3 linked regions of the Neodiprion lecontei genome follow. The main gene of each other region encodes a partner of the protein of the gene in region 2 in a complex. Links are inferred from orthologs where the notes say so. Each region holds a gene or a part of one and is shown on either strand. Other genes may lie near its edges.

What was found.
Region 1: the proteins of exportin-1 (region 2) and ran GTPase-activating protein 1 are in contact, whole or in part, in a cryo-EM structure (PDB 9B62), measured with the Homo sapiens proteins. The link is inferred for Neodiprion lecontei from reciprocal best matches to the Homo sapiens genes XPO1 and RANGAP1. Residues at the interface, in NP_003391.1 of Homo sapiens: Lys245, Ser248, Thr249, Tyr252, Lys253, Glu281, Gln282, Val284, Thr285, Leu289, Met292, Gln293, Gln296, Arg340, Asn342, Leu343, Lys514, Val518, Ile521, Lys522, Leu525, Glu529, Arg532, Lys534, Lys537, Ala538, Ala541, Met545, Phe554, His558; in NP_001265580.1 of Homo sapiens: Ala2, Asp5, Ile6, Leu9, Ala10, Thr12, Leu13, Ala14, Thr16, Gln17, Val18, Ala19, Gln22, Leu23, Ser24, Phe25, Lys28, Glu44, Arg55, Ala561, Thr564, Lys565, Pro566, Ser568, Glu571, Ser572, Ser574, Phe575, Arg577, His578.
Region 3: exportin-1 (region 2) and exportin-5 share a complex: the UniProt entries of both Homo sapiens proteins name them as parts of the nuclear export receptor complex. The link is inferred for Neodiprion lecontei from reciprocal best matches to the Homo sapiens genes XPO1 and XPO5.

The regions. Positions count from the first base shown.
Region 1 is NC_060261.1:1,574,551-1,580,367, forward strand, and holds ran GTPase-activating protein 1, read right to left. Parts: upstream 3,621-5,817; 5' UTR 3,443-3,620; coding exon 3,325-3,442; intron 3,091-3,324; coding exon 2,668-3,090; intron 2,565-2,667; coding exon 1,774-2,564; intron 1,674-1,773; coding exon 1,446-1,673; intron 1,338-1,445; coding exon 1,128-1,337; 3' UTR 1,049-1,127; downstream 1-1,048. Other genes in the region: uncharacterized protein LOC107216960, read left to right, coding at 1-329; 40S ribosomal protein S5, read right to left, coding at 4,119-4,403, 5,298-5,663. UniProt on the Homo sapiens protein: GTPase activator for RAN. Converts cytoplasmic GTP-bound RAN to GDP-bound RAN, which is essential for RAN-mediated nuclear import and export. Mediates dissociation of cargo from nuclear export complexes containing XPO1, RAN and RANBP2 after nuclear export.
Region 2 is NC_060262.1:35,772,179-35,777,791, forward strand, and holds the start of exportin-1, read right to left. Parts: upstream 3,630-5,613; 5' UTR 3,493-3,629; intron 3,476-3,492; exon of another isoform or gene 3,225-3,475; intron 1,698-3,224; 5' UTR 1,661-1,697; coding exon 1,463-1,660; intron 696-1,462; coding exon 501-695; intron 410-500; coding exon 59-409; intron 1-58. Other genes in the region: rab3 GTPase-activating protein non-catalytic subunit, read left to right, coding at 4,115-4,199, 4,324-4,434, 5,324-5,405, 5,487-5,613. UniProt on the Homo sapiens protein: Mediates the nuclear export of cellular proteins (cargos) bearing a leucine-rich nuclear export signal (NES) and of RNAs.
Region 3 is NC_060265.1:3,219,199-3,224,858, forward strand, and holds the start of exportin-5, read right to left. Parts: upstream 3,446-5,660; 5' UTR 3,325-3,445; intron 3,305-3,324; exon of another isoform or gene 3,201-3,304; intron 2,100-3,200; 5' UTR 2,053-2,099; coding exon 1,366-2,052; intron 1,223-1,365; coding exon 914-1,222; intron 1-913. Other genes in the region: nucleoporin Nup37, read left to right, coding at 3,842-3,991, 4,076-4,273, 4,688-5,055, 5,138-5,390. UniProt on the Homo sapiens protein: Mediates the nuclear export of proteins bearing a double-stranded RNA binding domain (dsRBD) and double-stranded RNAs (cargos). XPO5 in the nucleus binds cooperatively to the RNA and to the GTPase Ran in its active GTP-bound form.

The sequences.
Region 1 (5,817 bases), on a different chromosome or scaffold from region 2:
TAATAGCGGTGAATGGGATTAGGTTGCTCGTTTACTGGTACTTCATGTTTAAGACTAGAATGTACAGACGCTTCCTAACATGGGCAGGAACAACATGGAGAAGAGTCAAAAGAGGAATGACAATCGCTAGGAGGCGCCAAGGACAAGATAACTATAAATTACAAGAGACTGAACTATGTATAGTATGCTTTGGAAAAGCAAGATCTGTGTGTCTTTTACCTTGCCGACATTTGTGCCTTTGCACCAATTGCACCCAACTATTATCCCACCCATTACGATGTCCGTTATGCAGGCAGTTAGCCGATGATCTTATACATGTTTACCTTTGATATTAATTCTATCCAAGCTCAATTAGATGTTCAGTTTTAAGGAAAAGAAATTTACACATACTATTTTTATACAATAGAGTACGATGAGAAAATGTGATGTGATTTCACTGTGTTCAGATATAGATAATATAAATATATTTCAGTAGTGATAAATGACCAAAATGTAATTAATTAATCCTCATCCATGTTCATTTTTGGACTTTCTGAGAAAAAAGAATATTGTGCAGTATAATTCTTTTTGAATTTTAAAGCTTGTAGTCGGAATAAATTAACATAGTAGGAAATGTCGTAGTTCAACAATAAGCCAAAACACTTTTTTTTACCCAAATAAGTTGTAGTATCATGTTACAAATGCCGATATCACGACGAATTGAGCAATTGAAAAATTTCTTTGTTTCTTACATGTTTTAATCTGTAAAATCGTTAATATCCGTTTAAAAAAATAGTGTTACAGTCATGCAATGAGGCTGAAAGCTTGTATTTTAAATTTAAATTGAATGACAATTAAAATTGTTAAATTAAAACATACGTATTTTTGACGTCGCATTCAGCATAAAAATCTGCTGCCAAAATTCAGTACATTAGGGCACATTGCTATATAAATTAATTATTGATTTCGCGGCGTATTATCGCTACCATCTCTCACCACTGGTTCACTGATAATCAACCGCGTGCCTATTACCATAAAACCACAATGCCTAATGTATAAAAATAAATTCTTACGAATTATTAATAAATATTTAATGTTTTGTACAGGAAATATATGAATCATTCCGCCATCAGACTAATTTAATTCAATCATATTTGGTCGAGAACCTTCTTGAGAGAAGCCTTAACGTTCTGAAATGGGTCTACCCTGACTTTTCCAGTTTTTATTGGTAGTTCAATGAATACTTTTAGGGCATTCCTAGTCTCTGTTAGAAAATAATCCTTGGTGCTTATTTTCTCCAATGCTTTAAAGCATCCCTCGAGATTCCAATCAATTCTACCAGCAGTTTTATCCTCACTCTGAAATTTAATTAAATTATTGTATTAAATTTTGGATCCATTTACCAAGTATTTTTCTTCTCTTCTACATCAAAAAATATCTGCTATATCACATATTATATGAAATACCTTAATCAAGCCCAAATTAATCAGAAAAACATTGTTTAGTTGGGAAACTTGGTCAGTTTTTGTCGCATATGCAAACAATTCCATGTAAAGCCCGTCTGTCACTCGTTCTGCCTCTATTCTGGCATCCATATAGCCGCTAGCACACAACGAAGAAACCTTCATTATAGATCTAATAAGCACTTCAGCATATGTTTCTTTTTGAGATTCGTGTCCGTTTACAGACTGACTCTGAAAATTTACAGAATGATTTTAAAGTTTTAAAAAAAAATCGCGAAGAACTGAACAGAAATGGAAAAAATAGTGATATGGATGTGATGCATGCACATACCTTAGCGTGTTCCAAGAACAACTGTATTTTGTCGCCTTGAAGTCGGAGAAGGTTTTCAGCAGTTGGATTTTTCAAAAAGTCCTGAACCGTCACGTTCTGTTTATCCTTTTCGATCTTTGATATCTCTTGATCGTCTTCCTTTTCTACTTCAGAAGTCTTGTTTTCATCGTCGCTGTCCTCACTTTCAGTTTCCTCTCCACTTTCGCTATCGCCTTCGCTTTCAGATTCATTCTCCTCAAGACTCCCAAGAACCGATAGTTTTTGCGAAGCAATAAGTGCTCCTTCTAAGTTTTCTCTTCCTTTGCTACCAAAAACGTTGCCATCAAGTACTAAGCTCGTCAATTCCTGCTTATCCGCAACGGCCGCTACTATTGCATCGATACTAGCCGCGCCTATTTCGTTAAAGCTCAAATTCAATTCCATCAGATTGCGGTGTGCGCCTTCGTTGGCTAGTGCTTCAGCCAGCACTGAGGCTCCCCGTGTTTTGAGCAAACAATCTCCAAGATTAAGTTTTTCCAGGTCTGGCAAGTTCGGTAAGGATTTTGCTAGAGCTCGTGCTCCCTCTGGCCCAACTGTGTTATCGTTGAGGTTTAAAATCTTCAATCTTGGATTGACGGAGAGCGCTTGTGCTAGAGCAGCTATCCCTTTGTGGTAAATCCCATTTTGTGGCATCGATATCTCTTCCAGGGTAGTCAGCTTTGTGAACACCTCAGCCAGTGCTGCAGCTCCATCATTTTCTAGTCTGTTTCGTCCAGCAATGAAGACTCGCAAGGCCAATGGTGCTGTTCCTACTTAAGCAAACAAAAAAAATCACAATTCACTGTAAGCAAGTGAGATAAATTTTAAATCAACTTTTATATAAATGTAAAACACCGAAGTGCCAAACATTATTACCGTTTTCCTTAGAACTATTTTCATGACAATTTAGAAGAGCTTTGGCTAGCATTTTTCCTCCCGTTATTCCAAGTCCATTGTTGTTCAGTTTGAGTTCACGTAGAGTGAAACATGCGCTAGAGCTGAGTAGCGTGGCCAACCCCTTAACGCCGACAGGGCCAAACGCATTGTCACTGAGATCAAGCTCGACAAGGCGAGTTTGGGCTGCACATAGTCCTGTACCTAGATATTCCAGGGCAAGAGGAATCTCAGTCTTCATCCGCCCTGTGAACATGTCTTTCCACAGGGCTCGTTTGAGCGAAGAACCCTTCGCTTCCAAAGCCTTTGCCACTGCCTTGGCCGCATCGGGACCAAGCGTGTTTCCTTCCAAGTCGAGGTAATCCAATTTCTGACATTGTTCAATTGCTTTGACGACTTCCTCAGCTTTAAAAACACAGAAAGTGAGCAGATGTGATTATTTAATAAAAATGGGTCAAATTTGGTGTGATTGAGGTATTTTGGGTAGATAAAAGGGTAGGTAGAGTTCGCTGAGAGAACCGGCGTCTGATAAAAGTTTGGTTATGTGAAGCAGCACGTTGAGCATCGAGGATGACGCGGACTTTTACGTGAACGATAATTGGTTTGTTTAAAGCTGAGTATGAAGAGGGTTCGACTTACCGTCCGCTTCGCTGTTTAATTTCAGTGATTTTCCATTAAACGAAACACCACTTTCAGGAGTTTTTTCACTGGCTTTGTTTAGCTGTTCTTGTATTTCGGTTAGATTGAACGTGGTCATGATGTTGATGTTAGTTTTAAATCACTAGCAAATGAACCGCCACAAATCAGTAGCTAGTTTAGATCGTGCTGTTACAGAGTAGAAGGATAACACTTTATTTCATATACTGATGAAATAATACTAGACAAAAACAAAGCCGCCAGCCACAACCACTTTTATACCAATTCGCGGGAAACTGACCCAGGGTCGATTTTATATCTAGTCCCGAGACTACGTGCTCACATAGATGGCCTACTCTATGCAAATATGGGACCGGGCATCTGTTTGACTATCAGCGACAAGCGATTTTTTTACTAACTACGTCCAGCTAAGTGAGCTATTCGCACGATATTCAGCGGTCGCAGAATTTCGAAAACTGGGGCCTTTTTTGAAATGATCGCGAATCAAGCAAATGTACATACATTCCGAAAAATCGGTTTTAATTTAAAATTGATCCTTGATAACGGGTTTTGATTTTTACTCCCAAGAATCATCCAAATAGCTTCTATACGTATTGGCTATTAATTGTTTGGATTAGTCTACGATTGCTGGGGAACAGCGTTTATTGATATAGTAACTCATGTAAATAATCGAACCTTGTATTTTTTGAGATTTTTATTTATTTATTAAACAACCGCAGGTGTCTGATACTCAATAAAAATTTGATAGACACAAACAGCATAAAGTAAGTGCCGTTTTATCGGTTGGATTTGGCGACACGTTCAAGTTCATCCTTCTTCTTGATGGCGTATGAATTTGATGATCCCTTCGCTGCGTTGATTAGCTCATCGGCTAAGCATTCCGCGATTGTTTTGATGTTTCGGAAAGCTGCTTCACGCGCGCCCGTGCACAATAGCCAGATCGCCTGATTTACACGTCGCAGTGGTGACACATCAACCGCTTGACGACGCACCGTACCCGCACGACCAATACGGGTTGAATCTTCACGAGGTCCAGAGTTTATTATCGCAGTCACCAGAACCTAAAGTTTAATAGATAAGCATGAAATAAAACTTAAAAACAATTAATGTGCCTTTGCTGCACTTGAAATTATAGTTTCTTTATTTTACAGCAGTGACTCTGCGCTGTCAAAATTATTGTTGAAATGATATCTTTGGTCCAAGAGTAACGTTAAATCCACATTATTTAATATAATGAAAATCCTTCGCTGAGCATCTATTTGGAAATACTGTATACATACTAGTTTGAGCAATCATTATTTAATTTTCTCCGAGAATGTTCAATTCTGAATGTTATGTATTGACAACTAAGAAATATGTTGTACACAGTTTACATGTCAAATAATTCAGGAATGTGTGACATAAACTTGTGCTACTTTTAAAATAAGAAAAAAATTATAAAGTTAAGGTTTAAGCAATGCAACTTAAAGCAATAGGAATAACACAAGCCCATGAATATGTGTTGAAAAACCAAGTTCAAATTAAGAAACAATAATTCTTTGATTTAAGGTCAGCTTCAACTTGCTTCAAGTTACAGATTTTGATGTGATCAAATCCAACGGCGTCAACTCCAATTGTAGCTTTGAAAAATGCTAATTCGATAATTTATGAAGCTGAATCTAGCAACCAGAGTTAGCAAGCAAATGTGTTGAACGTTTTTTGGAAAATAGAAAACCGCAGGTTGGTTTTAATCGCATAATTCTATAATAGTATCGGGGATTCAAGGTATTTCACTCAATTTTGATTTTCGAACTTTGCTACCTTATTCGGAATAACATTACAACATTTTGCTGCCAGCTTCAGCATCGCGGGTCAGTTATCCATATTGATATTTGATTGAGAAAATTACCCATCCAATGATTTTCCAATTTATTGAATCATATTAATTAGAATGATGAATGTGAAATGAATATTACCTGCAGAGGATTTTCGCCTGTGAGTAGATGGATGATCTCAAAGGCGTGCTTGACGATTCTGACAGCCATGAGTTTCTTTCCATTGTTCCTACCATGCATCATTAAAGAATTGGTCAACCGCTCAACAATGGGGCATTGCGCCTTGCGAAAACGTTTGGCAGCGTATCGACCGGCAGAATGTGGCAGGTACTTTGCGTTCTTTTCTTTGACCGCAATGTAATCCTGAAGGGACATGTCGCTGACCTGAACGTCATCGCAGTTCCACCGACCGAACAATTTGATCTCTGGCAACTCAGCGGACAGAGCGACCGGCAGAGCCTCCAAATTCGTTACTACGACATCGTCGAACGTTTCTATATCCGCCATGGTTCACCTAAAACGAGAACGTCGCTTTATAAATAATTAGAAAACAGGTTAGAAAAATCAGTTTTATTCTTAAATCTTGTGCACGTGCTTGCGCAGGCCAGGGCGTATAATTCAGTATCTAAGTCGTATTCACTCTCTCGGAACTTCAAAGTAT
Region 2 (5,613 bases):
GCCACTTTTCGTAGCACAATAAATTGAAAATTCTGTTAGAACATGAAAATTTGGCTACCTTGAAAACTAGGGTGTTGATCAACTTGGTTTCAAATATGTATCCAAGTGGAATCCAGTTGAGGAATCTGAGAAGAGTTTCGAGGGTAACAGCAACTAGAGGAACATTCTGTGAGTTGTCCATGACAAATTGACAAAGCTGGAATATTTGAGAGAACTCGCTACACATTGTATCCTTCAAGTGCTTAGCCTTTGTCTGCGTCATCTGACCACTTGAAAAGTCAAACACTTCTTCGCTGAGAAGTTTCAGAATAGCCATATTATTCTGACATAAGCTTTCGTTGGTTTTACTGGCACCCACAATGTCACCTATGAAGGATTCCCAGTTCTTTGGCCATTCTCGTTTTAGAACCTAAACATCAGCATCACGTGTTAAATAGTGATAATAAGTATTCCCGCAAAGAAAACAGTTTTCTTTTATTTTATTTTTTTTCAATTATTACCTGCACAAGGATCATATTCAGCTTGTTTAAGTAGACCTTAGAGGCCTCCATTGTTTCCAGGTCGCTACTAGTTTTGATGATCAACCCGACAATATACTTTTTAATACCCTCACATTGATTCCTTGGTAGAACTTTCCACCGTGTCTTGATAACCTGCTCTAAGATCTGTAGTGCGTAGTACTTTGTTTGTTGATTCTAAAGAATTAATGAAAAAGTTAGACGCATTCCTGTTTCATTCACATACTCTGTTCATTCAAGATTCTTTATTTCGGAGAGAAAAATGAACATCATAATGACCATTTTTTTTTTTTAAATCACTGTGAAATTGACATGATCATACTAAACTTTCAGAGTTTTGAGGTTTTTCAGAACTCGTAATTTAATTCTATCTTGATTCAACTGTTTCAAGATTGAAATTTTATACAAATTGTTAGAACCACTGAAAAAAATTAGATGCTGAAGGTTTCCACTTTTATTCTGAAGTTTACTTATTCCAAAATGTTAACTTTAGTGAGAACTATTAATTCTGTGCAGCTGAACTTTTTTCTTTGTCTAAAATAAATTCCAACTATCCAAAAAAAATAAATTGATACTCTTCTTACTTTCTGGTCTATAGAATTTCGCAATCAATTTTAAATTTTCGAAATCACCAACTTAAATGGCTAACTATAATAATTTGATATTTTTCTTTGTTGCAATACAATGAAAAATTGAAGGGAATTATTTTTATTTGGTAATTGATGTCAAATAGACCAAAAAGGCAACGGTGCTAAATTTGGTGTGAATAACTTTCAGCTAAGAGTTACAGAATTAACCAAATCATTTATGGTGATGCTAGTGGAAGGCATGACCATGTCTCTCTACATTGACGGCTGTTGATTATGAAATGATTACTTGAATAAAAAGATTTTCACACTTTTCATTCAATGGTCAAAGTTTTCTCTACAATTGGCATAACTCACCTGTGAGTATTCTAAGATGGTGTCAACTCGTGTCCACGCATCTGGATGTTCTTTGAGGGTGGTTAGCACTTCCTGAGCAACACGCTGTTGTTCACCAACCCCAGTATACATGCATCCGACTATATTATCCAGGAGCGTGATGTCCAGCTTTTGGTTGAAGTCCAATAACTTGGACGCTTGCTCTGCAAGTGTCGCCATTGCACTCACTTATTACCCTTGCTTTCACACACTCAATCTGCACACAAAAAAAATATCATTATTTGCATTGTTACTTGTAATGCGTCAACAGTGATGAGCCTGCACTACGACTCTAGTAAATATTTTAGTTTAGAGGTTGCTGCTGATCAAATAGAGACTAACAGTTGCATGTAAACAGTAGAATTGTGGTAACTAAATTTTAATGAATACTGATAACTTATAATCATAACATTCTAAACAAACAATATTTCCTAGGCAATCTTATTTACATATGGGTACCTAAAAACAAAGTGCCCAACTGAGGGACTAATTTTTTCGAGTTTCTTTTTACCTAACATAATTTTTAAGCATAGCTCGTGCAGTGTAGAAAGACACAAAAACTCAGGTTTTAGAATATATGTGAAAATTTGCGAATTATGATAAATCCGGAAGCATATGGTCTGACAACGTAATTTCAGCTTGATAGAATAAATAAACAAAAATTACAATGTAAAAATGTTCATTGACCGCTATAGAATACGTTGTTCCCAAGTTGTTTCGGTGTGCACTTAAACAGCGTTTGTTAGCAAATTTGATAACTGATCAATATTTGCCATGAAGTATGATGCACTTGCGGTTCAATCATTACAATTTCAATAATATTGAAATATGAGACTACATGGAAAGATTCCAAAGTGCTTAAGAACAAAATAAGCAAAAGAAAAATAATGAAAACATCATTAACTTTCGAATTGATTTCTCAATGATTAATTAAAATTAGATATCAAAGTTTAAGCACATGCCCCGACATGTGTAATCACGTATGTTTGTTTATTCAATGAGGACAATACATTACTTGTTTTTAGATTAAATTTCAACGCAACAACTCTCAATCTAAGAACATTTTCATTTACTGATACAAGATTTAAAAATTTGTAAGTACGATGCTTGGTGCACCTAGTTTCCATCCAATTTTTGATACCGATAGCATCGAAATTGATCTTGCTAAGGAAACATGCCCAAAAAGTCACTGAAATTCTGAAATCTGAATCTCAAAGAACCTTCAAAAAAGATGCATCCATTATTCTAAACTTCATGCCATACATAATGGGATGGTGCTTGATGTATACTTTGTCTATTCAGAAGAGAGTTGGGAAGGGGAGGGAGGGGAGGGGGGATCATGTGCCATGATTAATTTGGGGATAAATAAATTTTCCGAACAAATGTTGAGAATTCAAGGAGCCCGATTCCTCCACGTGCCGAAAAAACGGAAAAAACCAAAAATGCTAGGAAGCGTGCCGCAGGGGAGGTCACCGCACTGCGACCGACCGAACAACCGACCTAACCTACATCTGACAATCGCAAACAAGGTTATGTGAATTTCGGATTTTGAAATATAGTGTAATATTTAGAGTGGAATCGGATGAGTAGAGGAAACGATACTAACATAATGAGACTCGACGACGACTACCGGAGTTAGGTTAAATAGTGTAAATTCGGTCGTCCAGGAAGCCCGGCTGCCGTTTTTCCATTGCGTCGTTGCCCGTTGGGCGAAGGTGATTTGAGATTGAAGGTTTTGACCTACCGTATAAACTCTTTCATACAGCTTCCCGTCCCCGGGGTAAAAAAAAGGACGTTTTATTTTCTTTCTCTCGCCAGTCGTTACGTTTCAGAGTAATTAACCACAAGCACAAAAGGGCTAAACACACAAGTCGACGATTCCCGCGCGCTACACACTTCTCGCTCCTCGTTCCACACACTCGCAGTTTCGCTCTTTCTCACTCATTTCTCCAACTCTCTACTTTCTCTCTCTTCCACTATCAGAATCAAATACACTAAAATAATATACCCACCGAGGCCGATGTACGTCAAACCTACTTTCCCCAGGTTTCATGCGAATTTCATGTGATTTTTTCCACCGATAATACGAGCAAACCCGTCAACTATGTCGTCGCGAAACCCAACCTAAAGATTTTCGAAAATAATAACAAGATGGCCGAAAATTTTACGCGACAAATGCGGAGAAACAACGTTCACCATTGGTAGGCTACACCAATTTCGACCAATCCTCAATCGCATAAACGATAGTTTAGTATGACGTCAGTGGACGTCACATGACGTCACGGAAACACGTGTGCTCATTTTTACCTTGTAATAAAAATTTACGGAAGGATTCTGTTTTTAAGTGTATCATATTTCGAAATTGTATTTATTTCTATTCGGCGCGCGCCAAAATTTATCCGGACATAATGTACGCTGCATCTATCCTCTCTTTTAAGGAACTTAGAACGCGTTATTTGAAATTCCGCAATATATACTAGCATTCTCAGAAACATCGTGTCATATGATCTGACAATTCTACTAACTTTTCAGTCAATTTCCATCAAACTTTATTCCGCTACAGTCTGCATATTCATGCATATTCGAGATGAGAGTCATTTAACAACATATTTATAATAAAGTGTCAGCACGAAAATGTCGTGCCAAATCAAAGGAATCGCTAATTTGGTCGATTTGCCCAACGTCAAGAATTCCTTACTCAGAGATGCTGGCTCCAAACGTAAGAAAATCCCATTCAATTAAAATCTCAACTGTCATCAATAACAGTAACCACTAAGGTTATCCAATAAACAATATGTACGTTACACCCATCTATATCTACATATTTATACCCAATCTTTCAGTGGATTATGTACCGGATAAAGAACTACCTCTTCAAGATCTTATTATCTCCTTATCACCAGCAGGGGATGTCCTCGCAATTGCTTGGAATAAAAATATGGTCATTCTGACGTGTAAGTTTACAGCAAAAACTCATTGAGCAACAGTACAAGTTTTTGCTTATCACCACAACATCCTCTTGATGACTTTCTTATACAACAAAAGGAGCGATACAATCATCTCGACCTGCATCTGATTTATTACCGATGATAGAATCACAGAATTCTTCATACGAAATAAACTTTTTAAAAACACACAAATAAAATCCACAGAATCGATGATAGTTCCTAGTTCAATAAAACTTACCCCGCTTTTGACAAGCTTATATCGCAGAGCTCAAATAGAGTAGCGGTGATGTTTTCGAATAAGCCTATCAAACTCATTCTAGCTTACGAGCTTATATGAACAGTTTTTCCCTACATTAAAAAGAGGTATAAGCAAAATAAAATGCCTTTCAAGAGCCTTTTAAATGCATAGCTGTTTCCACACCACAATTGGGCTAGATATAACTTTATTCTGTGTCAAACGACAAAACGTTAAATAGTACAAATTTTGTAAGCATAAGAGACACAAAGTCATACTATATATATTTTTGCAATAATAGAGTAAGAATATACAAAATGTTAGTACGTGAACTGAATATATTCAATTTGCGAAGCCAAATAGCTCGGTAAAGTTCTTCATAAATTTTAGATCCATCTTCAACCATTATCTTGCTAGTATCACGTCTAAAATTCAAGATTAAGGTGCCGATTACTGGACCTAAAATATTTTCAATTTTTCATCACGGCATAGTAGAAAACTTAATAATACTGAGTATTCAAAAATTTTAACATCTTTCTAATACTAGCCAATGATTGATATGCCTGTATTATACTATAAGCATTAAAGTTCATTTCATACAAATAACGACAATTAATTCCGTAAACGTTGTAATTTTTCACACACTGTTTGTCAATACAGCAAAATGGGATTCGCATGAACCTGGAGATGTGAAAATGAAATTTCATCTTACATGGAGTGGAGATGTAACGGATGAGGAGAAGTAAGTTTTTCTAATTTCGTTGGGCTAGAATGATATTCCACCACAGATTGGGGTTATTCAACAACTTTTATTTTGTTTCAGTGAACAGATAACATGTCTGGCATGTCTACCTCTTATATCTTTAGGCAAAACCAGTGCTGGTAGCGGTCCTGATTGGACCTGTATGGCCGTTGGATTTTCTAGTGGGTTTATAAGGTTCTATACAGAG
Region 3 (5,660 bases), on a different chromosome or scaffold from region 2:
ATTGGCATATAGAAGTGGAATTGGAAAACAATATGAAAGTTAATGGAGGTAATGTTTTCCAAGACTTTTTCAAGGTTCACGTTAATTCTACTTATGTGCTACTTTGAGACCTGATGTTAAATCAGACCTAATATGTCGTGAAACGAATTTTGTAGTATTCAATCTAGCCAATCATACAGAACATACAATAAGTAGTAAGTACTCTGATGTTACTAGGGTGGTTCTTGAAACGAATTTTGTTGAATTTTCACGGAGCCTTCGCCTAAATCAGTTCCAAATAAATATATCAAAATCATTTCAAAGCACGAATCTATATCGACTACAAACCTCGGGCAAGGGGATTGAATTGCACCATTTAAAAGATATGGGGTTTTCCATGCAAACTCAGTTAACGTTTGATCGTGACATTTTTTAGTACCATTCAGGATTTTTCCTACATTAGTACGATCTCTGAAAACCTTCCAAAAAACCTTGAAACTTTTTTTAATCACGGTAGTCACCTATGAATTTTTAATCCCATCTCAAAAATACCCTAATTGATTTTTGCAAACTAAGGAAAACAAACATTCCGCTTTCAAAGTAAAACAATTTCACCCAGATTCAGAGTGGAAGTGCATTTTTTTTTCGTTTTTGTGAAATTGTGTTTTCTAGTTTAATACCTGTTTAAAATCTATTACAATCCATGTATTCGCATCTCTGAATGACTACTGATTTTTTAAAATTCTTTTTCCAGTCCTAAAACACTCATTATTTTTTTCAAAATTTTATAACAGAATTTGAACAGGAACGAATAAATGACCCTATATGCGATTAGAATATAGTACAAGTGTGTAATAGAGTTGCACTGGTGCAAGGATACAGATGCGGGTCAGTGCAATTACTTGCATTTATTATCATTTAGTCAGTCACGTACCTGAATCAGTTTTTTTAAGAACAAATAATAATTCTCCTCCGAGTTATTTGGTCCTGATGGAGGCGCAGGCATTGTCGCAGCACTGTAAATGCATCGCAAAGCCTCTTCAGAATAAAGAATCATCAATTGCTTCCTGTCTTCCGCTTTACCCTTGCGATTAACAATCTGCAACAGACACTCTGCAGCTGGGCATTGGAATGTTGGGTTGCCGAGCAGTACACAAAGGATTTGCAATAACCGACCATCTTCTGCCATCACGTGAGCTATCGACACCCATTCCACAAATCCGGTCAAGGTAAGCAGAACAACCTGAAAACACAATGAAGTGATAAAACAACTTTTATTTGTTGCTTTTTGCCAAGAACACGCGAATTCCGAAAATGACGCAAGGGTACGTTTGAGAAATGACTCAACCTCAGAAAAGTGAAACTGGTTTGTATCAGTTTAGTTACCTGGACAACTTTTCCATGGGCGGTAGCTTCATTTACATGGCCCAAGCTGTTTGCTTCTTGGAACTTTGTAAAATGTTGTTCGATCAGTCTTAAGAAGAAGGTAAATATTTCTGCCATGTTGGTTGTCAATGCCTGATATATATCTTTTCTTCTCTGGTTTGACTCCAATGTTTGCAGTAGAGCAACATCCTCAACCAGTCTCAAAAACACCAGCAGTACCAGTTCTGTTTGGCTTTCGCCTCTGGTACAGGCATGGCTGAGCTCAGCCAAAAGTGTCGGCCACTGCTGCGGCCATTCCCGTTTGATCATTTCCACAATCACGCGGGATAAGGCATCTTTTATGTGCGTTTCTTCTTGCATAAACGGTTCCGTACCGTCTTGCAGTAATTTCATGGCATTCTCTTTGATAAATAACTTTTCGGGCTGTGACATCTGGGTCCACCGGTATTTCACACAGTGTTCCATCAGCTGTAGCCCAAAATGTCGCACGACCGAACTGCTGTTTACATATTTCTGAGCAAGGAATAGGCCACACTGGGCGCACAGGGGAGATGATTCTTTGAAACGTTCACATGCCGCGTAGGCTTCGAGGCGCTGTTCGTGTGGTATGCCAGGTGACATCATCACCTCGACGACTTGAGCTAATTCAGCCGATATCTGGGCAACATCCCCCACGCCCGCGTCCATACCTCCTTGGTTAAAGCACCAAAGGCCAGCTACTTACTTGCCTGCTACTGTAAAGAACATACCTGTGATACCTCAATAGCTTTACAAGCAGTTGCATGAAATGATGCAACAATCACTCTAAATTTCTAATGCTCCATTGTTTGCTCGCAATTACTTCTGACTTATCTAAATAAATAGGTCAATTCTCAAGAATAGAGTGGAACCTCATTTATCGAAGTCTACGTCATCTAGTTTCGCGATTATTCGAGTTCGTCTCATCGGCGACAGACACGAATATCTGCTGTTTCTAAGTGCTAATAAATATATAAGTCTATTGCAGTTGAACTTTATTTTTGTAATGCGTTCTTTCCGAAGACGTGTGTATTTGTTTGTATTTATAGTCATTGTTTAATGTTTTTGATTTAATTTAAACACACATGTCTGTTTGTTAATAGAGAAAATCGTCATTAATATTTAACATTTCTTAAAAATGTATTATTTCTTTATTTCCTGCTATCCGAATGTTTTGATTATTTGAGCTAGGATGAGTACACAACGGCTTGGATTAGCAAGATTTTGCTGTATAAATTACATGGCAATAGCGATCAAGGTGATATTTATTTACCTTTCATACCTTAGTAAACTAATTTAATTCACAATGCTGTTAAATTTCCTGAAACACACTCAACGAGTTGAACCTACATACTTATGACTTGACGCTCAAATTAAATTTCATTGCTCATTCGAGTGGTTCAATTTTACTCGTATTCACTTCATGCATACTGGGCAATAAAACTTGCAACTATATGTTTCTGTTTCATATTTACTAAAGTATGAATCCGTTTTTACGTTCACACAAAGTAAAAGACACACATGCTGTTACTTCCAACCCGCGTTAACAACTGACTCATGACTTCGTTGATGCTGATATCATATGTACACAAATATTCTATATGTACATTCGAAGATATCATGAATTTGATCGGTGGAAAATTTTTGGCTTCCTCGCCGTTTGAAAAAAAAAATAGTCAACGCGGGTCGAAGAGTCTATAATGCAAATTTCAGATAAATCTGGCTAAATTGGTAAGAACGATCGTCTACAGAGAACACGCACGATACACACGCCGCCGACCATGCCTTGACAGGTACCAGGAAACAATGAATATTACCTGAAATGTCGTGCGCGTTTTCGGCAAGCTAAGTTCAAGAATTCCTCTCGCACTCCGATGAACAAGACAGGATAACAGTCCAAATCACGAATAACATTACTATTGAGAAAAAATTGATAATTACCCCAAATGATCGTTCCGCGATGCGGCTCGCTAACGGCTGGACGATGCGTACTCGCATGTGGTGCCCCCTACGGGCGAGCTGTGAAGTTTCAATTTTAAATCACCGACATAACACCCCGCTGGGATTACGCCGAACGAAAAGGTAGGGTTAGGTTAGTTTGGTTTTCAGCTGGATTATCCGCAAGTACACAGAACGTTGTGCCGTGTCGTCCTTCTACGTTCACGGCGATTTACATCTGAGATCTGCAAATGGGAGGATAATATAAACCAATGTACTTTGAGCTGACCTTATTCGGCTTGTCTCTTGGCTCCACGAGGCTGCGTCTGACCCAACCTAACCTAATCTAACCTACCCCAACGTACCTGAAAGCCCGCGTGAGAGGCATAACCTCGTAAATACGCGTCACGCCGTAGCTCGCGTCAAACGATAGAGCAAACCGTCTCGCCTTGTCTGAGGAATTATTGCGTGTGATTTGTGACAAACATTCGGTACAGAATAGCGCAGTGTTACAGCGGTAATGGACGAAGCTATCGTAACACCACCCACCTATAAGCTGAACTTTTCCGAGCAGATTTATTGCGTCGAGTTGTCACCCTATGAATGGTCGCAACGTTTGATTTGTATTGCTCTCACCGGCAAGATTACTATCGGGATTGTAAAGTTCCAGGTACAGATTCGTATTACCATGGCTGCACAGAGCCGAGCCCTTATCAATTCCATTGCTGTATGATTTCATTTTTCTAATACGCAGGATGAGGACGACGATGTTGAAGACATCGATTACTGTCCAATTCGAACGTTTCATCACGAAACGAGAGCAGATGCGCTTTCCTGGAGTCCAGAAACCTCCCTGAGTGTTGTACCAAAGGTCGTAGTCTTCTGTGTTGCTGGGGCAGATTTTAAGATACGGTTGTACAATAGTAATTTAAACGACATCAATACATATCAAGTGAGTCGCATTGTTGGTATTTATTTATCTTTGTTTTGCCATTCCTCTCTCCAGTTACGTGAGCGTGAGAAGAAAAATTAATTGTTCAGACTTGCTGTTGGCTTAGTGTGTAACACGGAATTGGTCAAAATGGGAATTTTTTTTTTTATACAATACGATTTAGATAAGTTTAAATGATTGCAGCCCTTTTTCTGCTATTGCTAAAGTTGGAAAAAAAACACAGCCACACCAACTCACGAAGTAGAGACTATGCTACAGACTTCTCACCTTCAGCGTAGCTAGTGCATGATTCACATATAGTTATCCTGGCTGAAAATGCAACAAAAAAAGAAAAAACCACATAAATACAGACTACTACCTAAATCAGATTTTCCGTTTAGGTTACTCATAGTTAAGCAAAGTTGTAACTGATAGGTTCTAGATGGGCACACAGATTACATCAATTCGATCTCCTACGAGCTGGAAGGTGATATTCTGGCCTCAGTCTCCGACGATCATACCTGTAAATTGTGGGACACCAAAGAGGAAAAAAGATGTAATATTACATTTTATCTAACATCTCCAGGCATGTCTGTATGCTGGCACAAAGAAGAAACTGGCAAGTTGTTAGTAGCTGAAAAAAATGGATCAATACGAATGTACAACATTATAAGCCAGCAGGCGATATTGTCTCTTGACACTGGTGTTACACCCCTTATGTCTGCTGATTGGGGGGCAAATCCGCTGAAGGTTGCAGCTATGGCGGCTGGTGAGCTACTAGTTTGGGATGTATCCAGACCCAGGTACGATACTTGCTGCTTATGAATTCACTCTTTACGAATTTTAAAACTTGTTTTTCACTAAGAGATATCTCATCGTTTTCAGCCGGCCTATGGAGTCCCGACCCTTGCACGTGGAAGGAGGCCAGATGATCAAGTTTTATCCAGCTGTCGAGTATTTACTTGCCAGCATTGGCAGGCCTGATAATGAACTTAAAGTGATAAATTTGAAATCCAAACAAGTAGTTCTTACCAGTCGCTTGAAGCTCGTCGGCGGAATGAGCTGGCATCATAAGTTACCCTTCATCTGCGCAGGCAATGACAGAGATCTCTGTTTTTGGAAATTGAATCTGAAGTAACTTGCTGGACACACCAATCATCTGTTGGAAGTTAAAATTGCGGATTCTCTACATGATGGTGACTTGCAAATTGACATAAAGTAGCTGGAGGAACTGATGATATTCAGGGAAAAAAAGTGTCGAGTTTCACGTTATTTTTTAAAAATTATATATAAAATGTAATTAAAAAAAAGTGACAGAACATTGCAAAAGATGTCAGGATGACAATCTATGCCAAAGGATGGATGACAGGGTGGATCAACGACGGTTTCTGAATTTTTCAGAATATAC